3 linked regions of the Arabidopsis thaliana genome follow. The protein of the gene in region 3 binds, or shares a complex with, the protein of the main gene of each other region. Each region holds a gene or a part of one and is shown on either strand. Other genes may lie near its edges. The genes, in order: BUBR1, AT2G20635 and MAD1.

What was found.
Region 1: MAD1 (region 3) and BUBR1 share a complex: the UniProt entries of both Arabidopsis thaliana proteins name them as parts of the mitotic checkpoint complex.
Region 2: MAD1 (region 3) and AT2G20635 share a complex: the UniProt entries of both Arabidopsis thaliana proteins name them as parts of the mitotic checkpoint complex.

Annotation. Positions count from the first base shown.
Region 1 is NC_003071.7:14,213,089-14,218,072, forward strand, and holds BUBR1 (BUB1-related (BUB1: budding uninhibited by benzymidazol 1)), read right to left. Parts: upstream 2,967-4,984; 5' UTR 2,831-2,966; coding exon 2,631-2,830; intron 2,543-2,630; coding exon 2,483-2,542; intron 2,367-2,482; coding exon 2,222-2,366; intron 2,134-2,221; coding exon 1,976-2,133; intron 1,895-1,975; coding exon 1,810-1,894; intron 1,721-1,809; coding exon 1,651-1,720; intron 1,575-1,650; coding exon 1,514-1,574; intron 1,397-1,513; coding exon 1,222-1,396; intron 1,128-1,221; coding exon 1,042-1,127; intron 968-1,041; coding exon 881-967; intron 786-880; coding exon 722-785; 3' UTR 516-721; downstream 1-515. Other genes in the region: GALS1 (glycosyltransferase family protein (DUF23)), read left to right, coding at 4,273-4,984. UniProt on the Arabidopsis thaliana protein: Essential component of the mitotic checkpoint. Required for normal mitosis progression. The mitotic checkpoint delays anaphase until all chromosomes are properly attached to the mitotic spindle.
Region 2 is NC_003071.7:8,898,461-8,904,202, reverse strand, and holds AT2G20635 (protein kinase and Mad3-BUB1-I domain-containing protein), read right to left. Parts: upstream 3,844-5,742; 5' UTR 3,794-3,843; coding exon 3,741-3,793; intron 3,642-3,740; coding exon 3,494-3,641; intron 3,327-3,493; coding exon 3,169-3,326; intron 3,072-3,168; coding exon 2,981-3,071; intron 2,891-2,980; coding exon 2,777-2,890; intron 2,686-2,776; coding exon 2,598-2,685; intron 2,379-2,597; coding exon 2,275-2,378; intron 2,198-2,274; coding exon 2,126-2,197; intron 2,052-2,125; coding exon 1,962-2,051; intron 1,873-1,961; coding exon 1,715-1,872; intron 1,591-1,714; coding exon 1,536-1,590; intron 1,458-1,535; coding exon 1,323-1,457; intron 1,227-1,322; coding exon 1,105-1,226; intron 1,009-1,104; coding exon 819-1,008; 3' UTR 505-818; downstream 1-504. Other genes in the region: AT2G20650 (RING/U-box superfamily protein), read left to right, coding at 31-249; PIA1 (PP2C induced by AVRRPM1), read left to right, coding at 4,555-4,587, 5,304-5,540, 5,638-5,742. UniProt on the Arabidopsis thaliana protein: Serine/threonine-protein kinase that performs 2 crucial functions during mitosis: it is essential for spindle-assembly checkpoint signaling and for correct chromosome alignment. Has a key role in the assembly of checkpoint proteins at the kinetochore.
Region 3 is NC_003076.8:20,280,331-20,288,114, reverse strand, and holds MAD1 (mitotic checkpoint family protein), read right to left. Parts: upstream 6,005-7,784; 5' UTR 5,811-6,004; coding exon 5,616-5,810; intron 5,540-5,615; coding exon 5,440-5,539; intron 5,340-5,439; coding exon 5,179-5,339; intron 5,095-5,178; coding exon 4,897-5,094; intron 4,800-4,896; coding exon 4,707-4,799; intron 4,602-4,706; coding exon 4,485-4,601; intron 3,903-4,484; coding exon 3,655-3,902; intron 3,306-3,654; coding exon 3,134-3,305; intron 2,438-3,133; coding exon 2,327-2,437; intron 2,243-2,326; coding exon 2,039-2,242; intron 1,785-2,038; coding exon 1,622-1,784; intron 1,335-1,621; coding exon 1,244-1,334; intron 1,148-1,243; coding exon 1,078-1,147; intron 765-1,077; coding exon 636-764; intron 553-635; coding exon 514-552; intron 430-513; coding exon 340-429; 3' UTR 31-339; downstream 1-30. UniProt on the Arabidopsis thaliana protein: Required for the execution of the mitotic checkpoint which monitors the process of kinetochore-spindle attachment and delays the onset of anaphase when this process is not complete.

The sequences.
Region 1 (4,984 bases), on a different chromosome or scaffold from region 3:
GGGAACCCTTAAAACCCCTAAAGGGTAGATTGTGAAATGAAATGATGCCCCTACCACTAACACCAAATAAAATTCCCAAGTTTTTTTTTTCATTTGCCCTTGTTTACCACTCAAAGTCTATCTCCAAAATCGCATCATTCGTTTTTAATCATTAATTTAAATGGCTATTAATGCTTGATTATGTTTTATGCCCCCTCCCATCCGTTTAAAGCCACTTTATTTTCTATGGAAGAAATGCCCAATGGATTGATTATCTTTTCTAGTTTGTACCCATCCATACGTATCCATTGATTTACAATGAAACTCTAGAATTTTTCTAAAACAAAGGTACGCTAGTTGCCTAGACGACTAGACCAAAAAATTATTGGGATCACAAAGTCACTTGCCATATAAACCAATGACTTGGCCACATTTAGGGCATTATTAAAATGATTCCTTAAGTTTAATCATAAGTGGTAATCTAGGTTAATTAGTGGAAATTGATATAAAGTTTTTTTTTGTAGAATGATTACTTTAGGAGAAACAAATCATATAAGGATTGAAACAAGACAAGTCACATTAATTTCAAAACATGAAAGGCACATCATGGTACATAGTAGGATAGTATATCCCAGTACATCACAAAAACAAATCCAAATAGGCAAAAACACACAAGGAGCTTTATAGACAAAAGCTCAAATCTCAAACCATAAGATCGTGTAGAGAAGAAAGTCCAATATCATCATCGTAGGAAGCTGTTGGGTGGGAAATGTCTTAAAGGGTTCTGTCGTAGCAGCTCTGTTTCTCTGCATTTTTTTAAGTAACCATTGTTAGATCTCTACCAAGTCATGATATAATATTTGTTTGGTGAATGAATCTTTAGGGGAATTTTTTTGCTTACTTTTTTATCTCACGGCCGCCATTAAGGGGCAGAACGTTTGATGATGATGAGATAGTTTCATCATTCTTCTTCTTTTCTTCTTCCTCTCTGCATTTCAGAATCATGTTAATGGTGGAAACATGTTTTGTTCAGAAAACTTCTGAAAAATTAGTCAAACTTACTCTGTACATTCTTCTTCATCGACAAAAACCTCAAAGGTGGAAGCAGATGCTGCTGCAACAGTTCTCACAATGGGTTTCTGAGGAACCTGTGACAATAAATATAAATGCAGTTAGTGATCAATTTATAGAGATAGTATGAGCCAAGTGAGATAGTTTTGTTTAGGAGGGTAGAGGGAAAACCTTGAATGATGCCCATTTTCTAGGTAAAGAATTGTTTTCTTTGTTCCTCTCTGCTCTGCCTCCAAGCATGAGCCAACTACCAAACTCTGGTCTTGACTTGTCTGACTCTGGTTGATTCCCTGATGTGGTGTCTGAAACTGCATCTGCGTAGATAGCAAAAGGTGTCTTGGATGATCTGCAAAAGACAAAGTTGCTTACCATAGTGAGTTGCAGAATAATTTAAAGGTATGAGTTGATAGAAAATGCAGATAATGAAAACAACGAGAAATATAGAACCAATCAAACTACTTACTGATTTGGCTTTAGCTTTTTGGCTTGTGGGTTAGAACTTCCTAACGCCTGCCTTCTTGCATCTACAGAAAACATTTTCATGTAAGATAGCTTACCAAAACATTTCAGTGGTTTCCAAGTTAAGTTAATGTGACTCACTATTATCTCCCCTGGACAATAAAGTGCCAAAGCTTCTTGACGGTAAGTCATTATTCTCCTTTGGTTCCTGCTGGTAGGTAGAACATTAATTATGATTAGGAAAAACCTTAGTCCATAATGAATAGATATAAAGTGTTACAAAGAGACAAAACTTTTTACTTCATCAGCTGTGTTGGACCTTCTCATCGTTCTCACCATAAACTTCTTGTACGCGTCATTCAACTTTTCCACTGGCTTTGCATCCCTGCACAAGTTCCCACTTTCAAATCAGACCAATAACTTGGAGCCGAAACATGAAAGTAAGATTACATATCTGTTCATTTACCTAGAGATTCCAAGATTGAAGATCTCATTAGCAGTTTTGACCTTATTCTTAAACTCAATGTGCAAAGCATAAGCTATATAGTAGACAGCATGTGTCTTTCCAATCTCATTGACCTCCAAAAACTTGTAAATCACTTCCGCATCAGCGCAATGCTCCGCCTTCAAAACACACACAAAAACTATGAGTACTCTCTCCATAACAAAGAAAGAATCATCTAGAGGGTTTAATTAAAGATAGAATCATTACATATTCCAACCAGACTTTAAGATAACGAAGATCATCCTTGTAACGTTCAGAGTGCCAAAATTTACGAACACATTGCTCATATATCACTAACAGTCCTGAACATTCTCCTCCTGGTGGAAAAGCCTCTTGTACCCATTTTATACACCTTCCAAAGAAACCAATTAAGAAGCTCAGTTTACAAATTGGTCACAGCATAAAGATTGGTTCAAGAAAAATTTCAATTTTTCAACAACCCAATCAAGAATGATAAAAGGAACTCACTCTATCCATGGAGATAAAGGGTCATCTCCTTCATACTCATCAATGGCTTCAATCAAATTCCTAATTCACAAAAACAACACAAAATTAGACAAGAATCGAGCGATTAGACTAAAACCCAAGAGCAAAGATGTGAGATTGAAATCAGTACCTGCGTTTCTCGATGAGATTCTTTCTCAATTGGTGGTCAGAGTGAGATTTGAGAGCGTGGTTGAGAATACCAACATTGCGACCTCTCTTCAATGGCCGGACGTTCTCCTTGAAAAGCTCCCACTCGTATCCAGTCTCCTGCTTCGAATTAAGAAACTCTGCCTCTGGATCTGAAACCTGAACCTTCGTTTCGGCTGCCATCGTCGTTTCTTCGAGCAAATTTTGAATATCAGAGAGAATATAGCCGTTAGTTTACTCAATGAGAGAGCTTCGCAACTTTTTGCTTTGATGTACGCATACTCGGAGCGTATAGACGCTTTTGATGGGCCTAACTTAGATGGGCCATGATTTGATTTCTTAAACCCATTAAGTGGCCATCTAAACCGAATTGTGTATACTCCTACTACAAATAATCGATAAGAGAAGAAAAATGACAATGAGCGAAAGTAAAATAGTAAAAGAAATGACAGAATACACTTCATTAATTCAATTGGCTGAACAAAATAACACAATAATCCAGAGAAAATTATTTTTACTGTTTTGTTTTCTTCTAAATTAGATGGTTTTGGTCTTTTGGAGAATAACAATCAAAGCAAAAGATAAAAGAGAAGATGTACTCTTTTTTTACCTTCTTTAAATAAATTACGAGCATAATTCACTTTTTGACTTGGAAGCTAAAAAAAAGTTCATCCACAACCACAAGATGCTCTCTGTCTGTCGGTTCAACAAGGGATGATCACATACATTGCGTTACACGCTAAACCTAGTGTGCTCAATTATGAATTCCTAAACAAAACGTACTCAAGATTAGAAGTTGTATACAAAGTCTGTTTTTCCATTGTAACAACTTCCACCGACAATAAAACAGTAACAGTTTATTGAAGAAAATGAAATGAAGAAAACATAATAAAAGAATTGATATTTATGGTATCCTTCAGTTTGGGAATGTGACACACATGATCTCCTTTATTGACGTTTAAGTTTGGAAAAAAAAACAAGTCTTTAAATGCATGCAATCGTATTCGCAATCAATATACATTTTGCTTGTTATTACTAAAGTCTAAAACTAAAAGCCTTTTGCCGTACGTTTAAGAATTCCATAACTGGAAGAACAAATCATGTTTTTAATTCAAATGTTTAAAACAAAGTCTACATTCAAAGGAATTTAGAACACACTTTTTTTTTTTACTTTTTGCTGGGAATTCACAAACTCTTTAACGAGTCTATTCACATTTCACCTTTCCGTGCCCAAACTCATTCGATTTCTCTAACCGAAACTAAATCATCACCAAAGAAGGTACACCGTTACGCCAACTTGCCCAAAGGACCATGTGTCCCCACCATGCTGCCAATTGGGAGCCAGCAATACATAAAACAGACTTGATCCAACTTTTTACAAGTTAGATGCAGTGTCTTTTTCGTAAATCATAATAGATCCAAGCCCATTCTCGTATAACCTCCACCACATCACTCCTCATATCATATGTGAGACAGCCACGAGTCTTCTAATTTCTACACGCCGTGTCGGCAAAGCCTCTCGTCACTTCTCTCTGACGCTTGTCGTCACTTTTGAATTTTTTTAATTTTTAAATAATTGATAACCGAAACGGTGCGTTTTACTCACCGTCGTCGGGAAAAAAAACATGAGGAAGGAAGTTTTGCCGCCGGTGTTATCAACCACCACAGTATGTTTCGAGAAGAAACCAATAATTGCTACATTACTAGCTCTCTCTCTCGTCATGATTGTCTGGAACCTTCCTCCTTACTACCACAACCTCATCTCCACCGCTCGTCCCTGCTCCGCCGTCACCACCACCACCACCACCACCTTACTCTCCTCATCGAACTTCACTTCGGCGGAGAATTTCACCACCTCTCTCTCAACGACAACTGCAGCAGCTTCTCAGAAGTACGATTCAACTCCCTCAGATCCGAACAAACGCGTTTTCCAACCGTTCGGAAACGCGGCGGCGTTATTCGTACTAATGGGAGCTTACCGCGGCGGTCCAACGACGTTTTCCGTTATCGGACTCGCGTCGAAACCGATCCACGTTTACGGAAAACCATGGTACAAGTGTGAGTGGATATCTAACAATGGAACTTCGATTCGAGCTAAAGCACAGAAGATTCTACCAGATTGGGGATACGGACGAGTCTACACCGTCGTCGTCGTCAATTGCACTTTCAATTCAAACCCTAACTCCGATAACACCGGAGGTAAACTCATTCTCAACGCTTACTACAACGAATCTCCCAAACTCTTTGAACGATTCACTACGTTAGAAGAATCAGCTGGAATCTACGACGAATCGAAATACTCGCCGCCGTATCAGTACGATTACCTCTATTGTGGCT
Region 2 (5,742 bases), on a different chromosome or scaffold from region 3:
TAGTTCATGTGTTTGCTTCTGATTTGGCAGTTGCTACCTGAGAAATACAGCTACTACAGAAGACTCGATCATAATGTAAACCGAAGCAGGGACTGCGTAATCTGCATGACCACGATTGATCTCAGACACCGTATTAATGATTGCATGGTAACGCCGTGTGAGCATATATTCCACTCGGGATGCTTACAGAGATGGATGGATATAAAGATGGAGTGCCCAACATGTCGTCGCCCACTTCCTCCAGCTTAACCTTTGGTTCCTTAGGAATCGTCTATTAACTGCACTCACATTTTATTGTAGGTAACAGCTTCTTGAATCATGCTCTAGGTTCTGGCTATTAAACTGATCTTTACACTGAAACATCTTTGGGTTCTTCTTTGGTTTCAGGTCTTGGAAAGATATTAGATGAAAACAGAGCATAGATAGAATTTGTCGGAGGAGTAGACATTAGATTAACTGTGTAATAAGTCAATCTCTTTACTGCATATTCATTGCCCATTCTTTCAATAAAATCCTCCAACATATAAACAATCATTTACATACACTAAAATTACTTTTGGGTCAAACCTTTTAACAATACCAAACCTACACATATTTTTGTTCCTTCGTCCTTGATGATATGAGAGATTGCTCTCTTATACTTACCATGTGATACGAAATACAAAGTAGGAACCAGAGATGTGTTAGATACATTCAATAATAAATCATCGTAGACCACAAATTACGCGTTACTTGAGAGGCAATCATTGTCTCCCAAGTGTCTCTTTCTTTTTTCCTCACAAACACTATACAGAGACTTTTTAATTACTGCGTGAAGATTACGAAGAGCATAACGAGATGCGTTGTTTGGCGAGTAACTCGTTAAGCTTCTTCATGAGCTTAGGATCAGAGCATATATACTCTTCCATTGACTTTCTCAGATTCCTCAGTGTCTCTGTGTCATCTTCACACGTTTCTCTGTTGAGCAGCTTCGTGAACAGTTCTTTCCACAGATCCACCTTCCAGTATCTGAGCAAATAACTTAGTGATTCAATATCCAAACAATAATTTTTTTTTGTTTGAGAGACAAAACAAGCAAATGAAGTTGAATTATTCTTTTGAGACCTTTTAAATGAAGTTCTCGGCATATTAATGTAGCCACCGTCCAGAGATTGCTTCTTCTCGATCTCCATGTAGACGTTGTGCAGCATCATGTGGACGATTACACATAGTCCATAAGTGTCCACCTATATATAACACATGTTACAATGGACTCGAATGGTTAAAAGTCTAATCATGCAAAGAAAAATTCTTGCTGAAGCAGTGTGATTTTAAAGACTTGCCTGAAACTTCCAAGGTTTATCCTCCTTCATCTCCACGCAACGGAAGCCTGAGGTACGACAATCTCCTGTAAACTCGGTGGTTCTAGGAAACAAGCTCAAGTCTATTCCTCTACCCCAGTCAACAAGACAGAGACCCTGAGGTAGAAATGAAAAGTTGCATCAGATTGTGGACACACACAAATCAGAGTACTAGTAGTTGTATAAGGGATTTACCTTCTTGCTCCAAGAACCTGTTTTCTCATGAAAGCCTGTCTCAGTTAGGTTTTCTCTGCAAGTAATCCGTGAGGTATGTCAGTCTCTGCCACGATCGTTAACATACAAGTACATGGCTTCATGACCAAAAAGTCTTTATCTACAATCTAATCAGCAATATTGGAGCGGAATAAACTTACGGAGGGTATCGGATCAGCAGATTGTCTGGCTTGAAATCACCATGAATGATTCCAACACTGTGCAAAGTCTCCAGCATGTTCAGCATTTCTATTGTGTAATACATGCACAAAACTTCTTCCATGGACTTTCCAACAACGACATACGAGTTTATGACGTCCTTAAATCACAAAAAGAAGGCAAATGAAGCAAAGAACTATGTTTGCATTTTGTATATTCAGTCCGTGAGAGTCCTAAGATACCACCTACCTGGAGTGTCCCGTGTGATAAATAATCGCAGACAAGTATACTGTAGTCTGAATACACGTGCACTCTCTGAGCCAATCCAAAACTTGATCTCTAACATAGCATGAGAGTAATTAGTACGGTGTGAAACACCTGTGAACTGGTAATATTAATGGAAAAGGGCATACTTGGCTATCTGGGATCCTGCAATCAAGTTGGCGATACATGTGGAATTCCCAAGGAAAAGGTGGTTTTTGTACCTGTGAAGAGATTTGTATATGCAATATGAGCATTTAGCATCATACTGTATTTGAAAAAACTTTAAGGGTCTATCTACCTTTAGAGCAACTACTTCATCAGGATTGCTGTCAATGAATGCTTTGAACACTTGAGCAAAACCACCTTGGCCAGCACAGCCCTTCATCTGGTACTTTCTTCCACCTAGCAAATAGACAGAGCCAATGGATCCAGGTCACTTTTTTTATTTTAGTCTCAGAGAAGACATATTGTCCCAGGTGAGAACAAAGCGGGAATCAATTTCTTTTACACAAATGAATACATGCCCAGCCACTTTTAATTTGAAAAATGCATCTTATAATAAAAAGAAGGATTCTTTATCCTGTAGCGGTGACAGACTAGATTGGTATGAAAAAAGTATACCTATCTCAATGATCTTATTTCTGGAATAATTCTGCAAAGATGACAGGTTGGCCTTTCCAGGGAAAACTTTGTTGCTTACATGGTACCCCTGATGCAAACATAAAGAAAGAAACTCAGTGGACAAGCCTCCCTATATAAGTTAAATCATGTAAAATATCATGATTTTCCATCAGCCTTACATCATATTTCACAAGCTGTGGTTTTATCTTGTGAATTAAGCCGTTCACAGTGGATGTTTCCCATGGATTCACAAAACCCGTCTCCAAGTCAGTGGCCTGAGCATCATCACCAACCTGCCAGAAAGAAAACGTTCAATCCTCAACTAAAGCTATCAAAGTGCATTAGAATAACCATATGCTACTCATTAAAATTAAAAAATAAACCTTTTCAAGGGAAGATGCTTTGGTCCTCTTAGAGATTCTTTGTAAGAACAATGAGTGAGCCTCTTTTAACCTGTCAAATGGTTCAGCTTTCCTACAATTCTCCAATGAGAAACAAATAAGAAATGAAACCACAAACTAGAGGAAAAAGATAAGGAAGGAGCCACAGAACAAGGAGAAAGATAAGAGACCTTGAAAGACCAGTCTGATAAACAGAATTTGCTCTTCGCCACAATCCTTTGACCTCAAGAAAAATAGCATACCATTCATAGAGCAACGAATGCCCTTTACATATCTCAGTCTCTTCAATTTCTCTATAAACCCTCTCAAAATCTTCCCTGCCTTCAAGCTAAGAAGAGATTCAACAATTTAACCCCCAAACTGTAACATCTACATCAGTTGATTCGCAATATAACAATCCCAAACCCTAAGAATGCTAATCAAACAAACAATCGAGGAAAGAAAAGCACAATTTAAGCTCAAACAAGTTGGGAGAGAGGGTTTTAGTAAAGTTACATAGAGAAACCAGATCTTGAGGAATCTGAGGTCATTTCGGTACCGAGAATCTTTCTTATAAGTTGAGATACAATCAAATAGAAGCTTATCGAGATCGTATCCGGAATTTTTACCAGCGTATAGATCCTCCATCGAATTTTTAATCTCCCTGTGAAAACCCCAAAATACAACATCGGAAAATTAGAATCCATTTTGACACATATAGCACAATTAGTTAGATGAGAAGGAAGGATAAAGCATGAGTTACATAAGCCACGGGAAGAGCGGGTCTCCGGCGGCGTCTCTGTAACCGATTGTCATTTTCGCAGCCGTAGGAAGAGAGAGAGAGAGAGAGAGAGTGGGAAGTGAAGCTTTTCAAAAAAAATTAACTTTCGAAATTCAAAATTTGTTGGACCAGAGCAAATATTCTATATAACCCAAAAGTGTAAATGGGCCTATTTTGTTAATTATGTGGCCCATTGTTTCAGTTAAGACAAATGAAAATCCCGGCCCACGCGCTTCAGGTCCACGGATTCTAGTCTTACGCGCTAAACGCGCCTTTGTTGCGTGTGGTTTGTCTTTTACACGCGTATTTCTTTTTGTCGACGTCATTTTGTTCGAATTTGTTTGAAAATATTTTTAAGATAAAGTTTCCTTTCTTTGTTGCACATGTTGTCATGACAGAGTAACTAGAAAAACTGATAAAATAATGTCTTGTTATTTTAAGTAATAACAAAAAAATATTTTTCCGATCAATAATGTAATGAATGAGATGATGTGCACGAAATAACAGTTTTTTATTTTAAAAGTAATGTTTTATTTTGTCGGCAATGTGAAAGAATGTAGCAAATAATAATAGAGAGAATTTGTTTAGGGAATACTTTTGCCTTGAGAAAAATATAAAGAAGAAAAGTCGTCGGCGGAGGAAGTCAGTAGCCAATAATGATAAGAATCACCGGCTGTTCACATGTGGATTGATTACCTCACATTCATATTTATTACATAAACTCATCTCTCTGTTTTTCTTTCTTAGAATCATTCATATTTCAGACACAAAGGCAGAGAAACAAATTCTTGTAACAATGGCAGGCAGAGAGATTCTCCATAAGATGAAGGTATGCTTAGCTCAACGCTAGTCTTTTTCTTTTTTCTTTAGTAGCGTTTCAAGGGCTCTAAAGAATCTTGATTTTGTGATCTGATCCTTGTATGTCTTGTTCTGTTTCTCATTAAGCTATATTTGTTTCTTTGTGATAACTTGTACGTAGAGCCGTTTTAAGGAAGTTAGCATCTCGCATGTTAAACGATGATATTGATTCTTCTAGAGCTTGTGTTACTGAATTTGTTTCAGTAATTTGTGCATTTTCTATATTCTCTTTTTGGTTAGAGATTTGGTGATAATGAAATGTATGTATGTTGCTCTTGATGAAGAAATTACAGAACTTGGATTAATGTGATTGTGTTTTGGTGTGAATTGGTAAAGGTTGGATTATGTAGATCTTTTTTGTTTGTTTTGTTCTGCAAGCTGAATTTTATTCATGAAATTGAGTCTTTACAAAGGGTTATGTGGATCTAATAATCATTTGTTTTTCTTTAAATGTCTAAACTTTGAATTTCTTTTTGTTTATCAAACCAAACTTGATTTTATAATTTATCTTTCTCATTTATTTTCATATTTGCTTTTTTTTTTCTTCTTATATTTTGCTGTTATTTGTCAACTTATGTTTTTAGCTTAAGAATAAAATGATTATAATGTATTGAGTAGTAAAAAAGTTTTTTTTAAAAATGAAACTAATAGTATAATTTCTTGTTGTTTGGGTGTGAATATTTGAAGGTTGGATTATGCGGATCTGACACAGGCAGAGGTAAAACCAAGGTGTGGAAGAACATCGCACACGGTTATGACTTTGTGAAAGGCAAAGCGGGCCATCCGATGGAGGACTATGTTGTGTCTGAGTTCAAGAAAGTAGACGGCCATGATTTGGGTTTGTTTGCTATCTTTGATGGTCACTTAGGGCATGATGTAGCCAAGTACTTGCAAACCAATCTCTTTGATAACATACTCAAAGAGGTAACTCATGTTTAAAGCATGCATGAATCTGTTTTTATGGATTTCTATAATGTCTCTGATAAGACTTAAAATGTTTTTGTTGTTTCACTTATTTCAGAAGGATTTTTGGACTGATACGAAAAACGCTATAAGGAATGCATACATATCAACCGATGCTGTGATATTAGAGCAGTCACTTAAACTTGGCAAAGGTGGATCAACG
Region 3 (7,784 bases):
TCTTTACATGTAGGTAGTCTGTGTATTATTTGTGTTTTAAATTCATGGTTATATAAAAATCTGTTTGCTTGATATTCAAGTGTTACTGTTTTTGGTGACTATAAAGTAATAAACGCATAATCAGAGAATGACATTAGATATTCTTTCTGAGTAAATCGAAACTAGTTTCTTTCATACCAAAATAGAGTTACTGACACCACAATTATAGCAGACATAACGAACCAGAGGTAGACATAGATAAGGCCAGTGTTTTAAGCTGCGGCTTTCGAGTTTCAGTTTCTATTCAGCAGGCTTTAGAAATATACAAAACACAGAGTTGGAAATAAGGACGCAGTGCTCTCAATATAGCGTCCGACGGTTGAATGATTCCATCGTTAAGTTGGCTGTAAAAGCTGGAATCGAGTTGAATTTCCTGATGAATATTTCTATCTGCAAGAAACACACAGAATGAGTTTTTACACTTCACTGAGAACACTGCGCTTATGAAGGAAGAAAACTATGTCTGTACTTTACCTGCTTCGCTATGTCGCCCTGAGAGGCATACTCATTGTTCTGAAGGAATTAAATCAGTATCAGTTGATTAACTGATTCAAATGCAGCATATCAAAGTTATACAATTTACAAGAATCACTTACTAGAATACTGGTGTTTCCTGACTCGTATTCAAACTCGAGTTTTTCATCATCACTTTGAGCATATATAGACTGGAGAGTAAACCGAGTCACTGGGATTCCATTGGGACGCTGATGTTCGTCCATTACAATCTGCCAGAGTTTTCAAAAGGAATTCACAAGTTTACAAGTTCTGTAGATGAATAAGACTCTTTGATCATCTATCTACACGAATAACGGAAGGTAAGGAAAACTATAGATAGCAATAGCTGAATCCCTCTTTGCAACAGAAACGCGCAGTTCATAGACCGTAAAAAATGGACAAAAGTACGAACATTACATTTTACAATGTGATAGTCAACATTCAGAAAACTGAAATATCCAGAATCATTGCCTTCAGGGAACCATTGTAATGCTAAAGAATAAAATTTGAGTGCTACGACATAATTATGAGCAAGTGGCATACCTTATAACCAAAAAGCTCACAACAAGCCCTTCTAAACACGGAAATTCTATCAGCAAAAACAGTTTTGTACCTGTTTCATAATTCATAGGCTCCACATATGTTTTAGTATGGGAAATCAAGGTCATATTTGCACAAAGGACATGTTAAACATTTATCAGTAACAAACCTCTCTTCACGTTTTTCAAGCGTAGCATTTTGCTCTTTTAGTTGAGCAATCTTTCCAGTTATATGAGAGTCAACTAGCTTCCCAGCATCTCCTGAATATTCATGAAAAAGAATTTACAGTAAAGCATATTTAGTAAATAAGAATAACATTTTTGAAACACTACAATATTTCTTCTCAAGTCCTCCGGAGGCAGATCAACAGAAAGATTTTGGCCCTCCCTTTTATTCTCGGAAACATAGAATATGATGTAGAGAATAGGGTCACAGAGAAATTAAGGTATGCTTCTCCAGTGAATTTTGTGGTGAGAGTAAAATTGAATGGTAGACTTGTAGCAAACTCAGTATCAAAAACAGGAAAGGTCGACAATCAGAAATTTACCAGACTGGCTCTTTAATTCTTCAACAGCTTGAAGTCTTTCTTTTGTCTTCTGTAACTCAGCTTGTAAAGCCTCTATTGTTTGTTTTGCCTCGTTTTCAACACCAAGAGTATTCACCATGCGCAAAACCCTTGTATTTGCGGCAGAATAATCACCATGACCCAGCTGCCAAATATATGTTACTGTTCAGATCAAACTCTAGGGTAGAAGTTAGAGGTCCTAAATAGCATTTCTATTCGCTTTTACAATAATAAAATCTTCCATGAAACCTAAGAAAAACATAAGATGCAGGACATAAAATTCGCCATTCACCCTTAAAAACTTTTATTATTCATTTCGACCATGGCAGATGAAAGTTCCATAAGCAAATATTTTCTTTGGCAATCTTTTTTACAAGCACACATCTCTAGCATCTGTACCTTTGACTCCAGTAAAGAGATCTCAGAGCGAAGACGATCACTATCCCTTTCCAGCGACTTATTCCTCCTTGCTTCATCAACTAGTTTCTCATTTAGAAGTTCTATTTCAGTACGTTGACGATTATTGACATCCTTCAGTTGATTTAGATCCTGCTCTAAATCCTTAATATAGTTCTCCTTCTTTGCAAGAGAAGATTCAAACCCCTGTATATATAAGCAAAATAAGCTTTATGCTTCCAACAAAAAAGAAGGAAAATCTTCAAAATAAGAACTGTGTTATTCTAGAACCTGAATAAGGGCTCCATCTGCGGCTCCAGACACAGATCCTTCACTGTTTGACTTCCTTAATTCATTAACAACAGCTTTCAACTGTTCTTTCTCCTCCGTGACCAAAGTGAGCTTTATTACAAATTAAAGCTCTGTTAGTAATAGTGCAACAAACTGATAGAAAATTATAAAAAGTTACCTCCAATGAGACACTATAAACTTAATTCCCTTGAATTGTGATAGATTCATGATTAAATAAAAAGTTGTTTGCAACAAATTCTATACTACACACATTATCTCTTATCCTGAAAGGACACTATATTATGGATAAATCAACTCATCATAAATTCGTGATAGACTCATGTTTGGATACGAAGGAATTTGCACCAAAATCTAACAATTGAATACACTCATTAGGAACAAACAGACTTTCCCCACATATATAGAGATATTAAATCTGTACTAATTGATAACAAACCCAACGTGAACATCCAAAAATACTAGGGATATTATCCTATGAATATCGTCTCTAACTATATTACTTCTATCAGCTTCTTATGAATGCATAGATCAACAATCAACATGAAATACAGAGCTGAGCTAGTATATATCCAAGCAAAGACAGTGAACCTAGAGAAACCAAGCAAACAATCAATAAACAAGAATAATGAATATAAAATGATGAGCATTTGAGTGTCACCAATTGAAAATGCTATCCTTTATCTCTCGAGAATCAAAAATCAACTTAAGAGGCTTTAATTGATGCCAGCAAAATAAAAGTGCATTTGTGACCCCTTACAGAGCACCAGCAACAATTTTCAAACTTACCATTACTTCAATTCTCTTCACGTCTGTTTTGAGAGCCTCAGATTTCTCTTTCGCTAATGCAGCCTCACTTACAGCATTCTGTCTGCCAAGTTGTATAGCCTCCAGTGTCTCCTCCAGTTGTTTAATACGGGTACTTGCTTCCCCAATCTTCATAGTGCTTTGAACCACCTCACTTCAAAGGCAGAAACACAAGTCACTAGGAAGTATCATAGATACATGTGTTAACTCAGAGTGCTTGGTAAACTAGAAATCAATACTCTAGATGCTCACAGACACATTAGACCTGCTAGACTAGCAAGCCAGAATATCTGTAAAATATAAAGCCATATCTGGACAAAGTGGTGTTACAGATGTCTCTGATAAATACTATCTAGTTCACCTATAAAGTCAGGAAAATGCCCCGTAACAACTACCTCAGTCTCTCCGCACAGAATATTTCATGGCAGGCATAATTATTTGAAACAATATCAGAAGAAGACTCTAGTGAAAAGATAAATTCTGTATAGATCATGTTGACATACTTCTGTAGCACCGAGAATCTCATAACTATGTCATCAGGACAGGACACACCAGGAATGTCATTTAGCAATGACTTCCAAGAGGACAATTCATTCTCCAACTTTTCCATGCTTAGCTGCAAGTCATGAAATTTTGATAACTCTGACTCTGCCCTCTCCCTACGGCTTTGTTCTTCTAATAAGTTCACATTCAACAACTCCGCATCTAAATGCCGTGATTTTAACTTTCTAGCTTCTCGCACTTCAGCTTCCTGATACAATTATCAAGAATCAAAATCGACAAGAAAAACAAAAACTAAATAGATATTACATGGAAAGTATAGAAGTCGAAAATAGAATCTACAAATAGTACATGTCTTCAAATGATGAAAAGTATGTGAGTCGAATTTACGATCAAATTAAAATTTGACTTGCATAACTAGTGTTACATGAAAAATACATCATTCTATATTACCTCACTTTTCTTGAAAAGTAAACTCTTTTACTTATGAATTGTCTTAGATAGCCTAAGTAAATAAGACGACCATTTTAAGAAAAAAAATTTAACGAGTGTTTTGAGTAAATTTCAAGTGTTTAAAAACTTGCATAATCTCTCTCCGTGATTTGCTGCTTATGAGAGTAATCAACAGAAAATAGAAATCATTGATTCTGGGTATGTAATGCAAAGTTTCTCATGGTAATCAAGAACGAGTACAGCTTCTATTGGTGAATAAAACAGAGAGTTATGATCAATGTCCTGACCACTTTCATACTCATTTTCAATAAATGATTCATCTTATGTAACAACTTTGTAAAATCATTACTCGGGTAGACTAAGAACTGGTAAAACTTACATAGCGTTTAAGTTCTTCCTGAAGATGTTTAACCAATACACTGTTATCTGAAGAAGATGCTGCCTCCGAAGTGAATGACGATAGCTTCTTGTCTACTTCAGTCTTTTCTTGCAAACACTGCATAAAAAGAATCATATGAGAAAGCAAAATAAATTACCAAAGCAAATGATGACTTATGACTGGTGTTATTATTATCTAAGATGCACGTCAAACATAGCTTACCTCGTCAAATATCAGTTTAAGATGCTCCAGTTGTGATCTTAAAAGATTTGATTCCGTCTCAGCATTTTGTGCCCTACATTGCATCCTTTCAAGCTAAAAGCAAAGGAAAACAGGTGCAAATACGATAATTGCATGAGAAACCAAAAACAAAACTTCAGTCAAGCTATCAAGTTTCTTAATCGATACTTACATCTGCACCAATCCTAGCCACAGAAAGCTTTGCTTCTTTACCCAGTTGAGCAATATCATTGTTGAGACGTTTCTTCTCCCTGTCCACACTTCCAGATAGCTGAGTTAGTTTATCCTCCAAAAGTTTAGCTTTTTCCTCAGCTGTTGCAGCAGAAGACTCCGCTTTCTTTCGAAGGTTCATTTCATTTTGAAGTTTTACCTATAAGGATTCAGTTAATGATACTGGCACCAATGACACCAAGTAAAACGAGAAATTTCAAGTCAATTTAATAGTTAGATCAACCTCCAGTTCATGGCAAGATTGTAGTTCTTTGGTATACCGCTCTTGAGAATTGTTGATCTCCATAAGAAGCTGCTCCTGAAGCATTTTCTCACGCGCTTTAGCAGCAGCAAGCTCTTGCTCTGAGTATAAGAATTTATCTCGAAAATGCTTTCTTTCAGCATCTGTTGTAGAATATCAAAATCAAATTCGTTAACAACAGTTAAAGCAGAGACATTCGGAATCAAGACCTTTGTAATTTCGAATTCACAAACGATCTCTCACCTGCTTCGGTGAAGTTGGCATTAAGAGTCTGTAATTTGGTTTTAGATTCCTCAACTTGTTTCTCTGCTGTGCTCAAGGCATCTAGAACATCAGCTTTAACCTAACAACAACAAGAACAAACCTCAGATTCGCTAATCTTCGTGAGGGGATATAGATAGATAGGTATAAGTAGTGACCATTTGGCGGCATTGATAGGTGCAAAGATGTTGATCCGCCGAATGATCATGAGAAGTTTGTAGCGGAGCAGGAGCAGGAAGAGGAGAATCTTCGTAGATGATTAGCTGATTGCCGGAACCAGTAGCGCCGGTGGGGAAGGGGCTTTCTCCGGCGTCGGACCTGAGCCTCTTCGGCTGCGGAGTTCTCAAAATCATGTCTGCGTCGAGAAATTAGGGTTCCGTTCTCCGGGAAGCGAGAGAAAAATTATTAGGATTTGAAAATTGAAATTGCAGAGGCGCCACTTTTTTTTCTCGAGTTTGATGAGAGAGCGTAAAGACGGAGGAGCTAGGCCGTGGAAGAAACTGGAAAGGCTTTTCACAACTATTAAATTATTAATCCTTTGTTAATATGTGTCTATTTTGATATATGATTTTTTGCTTTGTTAATTAATGTCTTATACGAAATTTTGTATGAACAAGATGATCAAACTGTTGATTATAATTTAAATCTTTATAAATTTTGGGTTATTAGATTCATCCTACTATATTATTTGGGAAGTACATTTTAAATATAACTTTAATTTTTGTAAGTAATTACATAGGTATGTCATTAGAAATAAAATTTTAAAGAGTAAATTAATTTATCTCTTTGAGGATTAAAAAGTCAAATACTAATTTAATTAATTAAATTTAATTAAAAACGAAATACATTATTAATTTCCAAAAATAATAACCAATCAAAATCAACATATAAGATTTGATATCTAAATTTTAATTAATTTAATTTAATTAGAAAAACAAAATACATTATTAATTCCCAAAAAAGTAACCAATTAAAATCAACAAATTAGATTTGATATCTAAATTATCATATTAATTTTTTATTAATTATTATAGTTTACTTCTCATCTTTATATGATTCTATTTTTGCCGAAAAATAATATCATCATTATAGAAAAATAATTAGAGTTTTTTCGCATATGCCATAATTTGAATTTTTAAAAACGAATATAAACTGTTCAATACATGAAAAAATATTATAACGGGTGAAAAATAGATTTAAGAAAACTTTCTACTGAGTAACATGTCATAATTTGAAATATTTATATTCAATTTCATACATATTATATTGAAAATTTATAATCTTATATACTACAATAATTAATAACATATTAGATGTGATTCAATTTTTAATACAAGCTGGAAAATCCTAGAATTGACGGGATTAGATCGATATTAATACAAGATGGTATACTACAGGTGAAACTCTTAAATTAACAATCAAACTACAAGTGTATAATCTTAAACACTAAACAATATAGATAATATCAAAAAATATATACAACTCACAGTTTACTATACATTTAAAATCAAATAAAATAATATCATATATTTTTAAATCATCTTTACAATAAAAGTTTTTAGTTGAACTAAAATATAAGCCTACCTGCGGTATACTGCAAGTTAATATCTAGATTACAGGGCTTATTGGATCTAAAGACAACTCATCAAAGATTTCCTAAACTGAAGCAAAATATACTGAATATTCAAATATCTATCTGTTACCAAATTATAAACAAATAAGTTCGTAAAACAATTTAATATTTTATATACGAAATCAACTAAATCTTAATCACATAAAATTAGCACAAAAAAAAAGTATTCAACAATTAAAAATTTATCAAATCTCTATATAAGTTTTGATACTATATTCGAATAAAGTGTAATATACCTTTTCAATTTGTATTCTTTAACTAATTTAAGCGAACTAATATATTTGCTAATCATATACCTATCAAAACCGACTATCGTTTCTTATCTCTATAGTATATTTGCAAGACTTTTTTGGTGGATTTGGATAAAAGTGCATATCGTCCTACTATATTATTTGGGAAGTACATTTTAAATGTAACCTTAATTTTTGTAATTAATTACATGACAATGCCATTAGAAAAATTTAATCAAAAACAAAATCTTTTAATGACATCATTAAGATTACCAAAATCATTTAACGACAATATTCATCTCTTAATTATAGGGCTTATTGGATTTAAAGACGGGTCATTAAAGATTTCCTAAACTGAAGCAAAATATACTGAATATTCAATTATCTATCTGTTACCAAATTATAAACAAATAAGTTCGTAAAACAATTTAATATTTTATATACGAAATCAATTAAATCTTAAT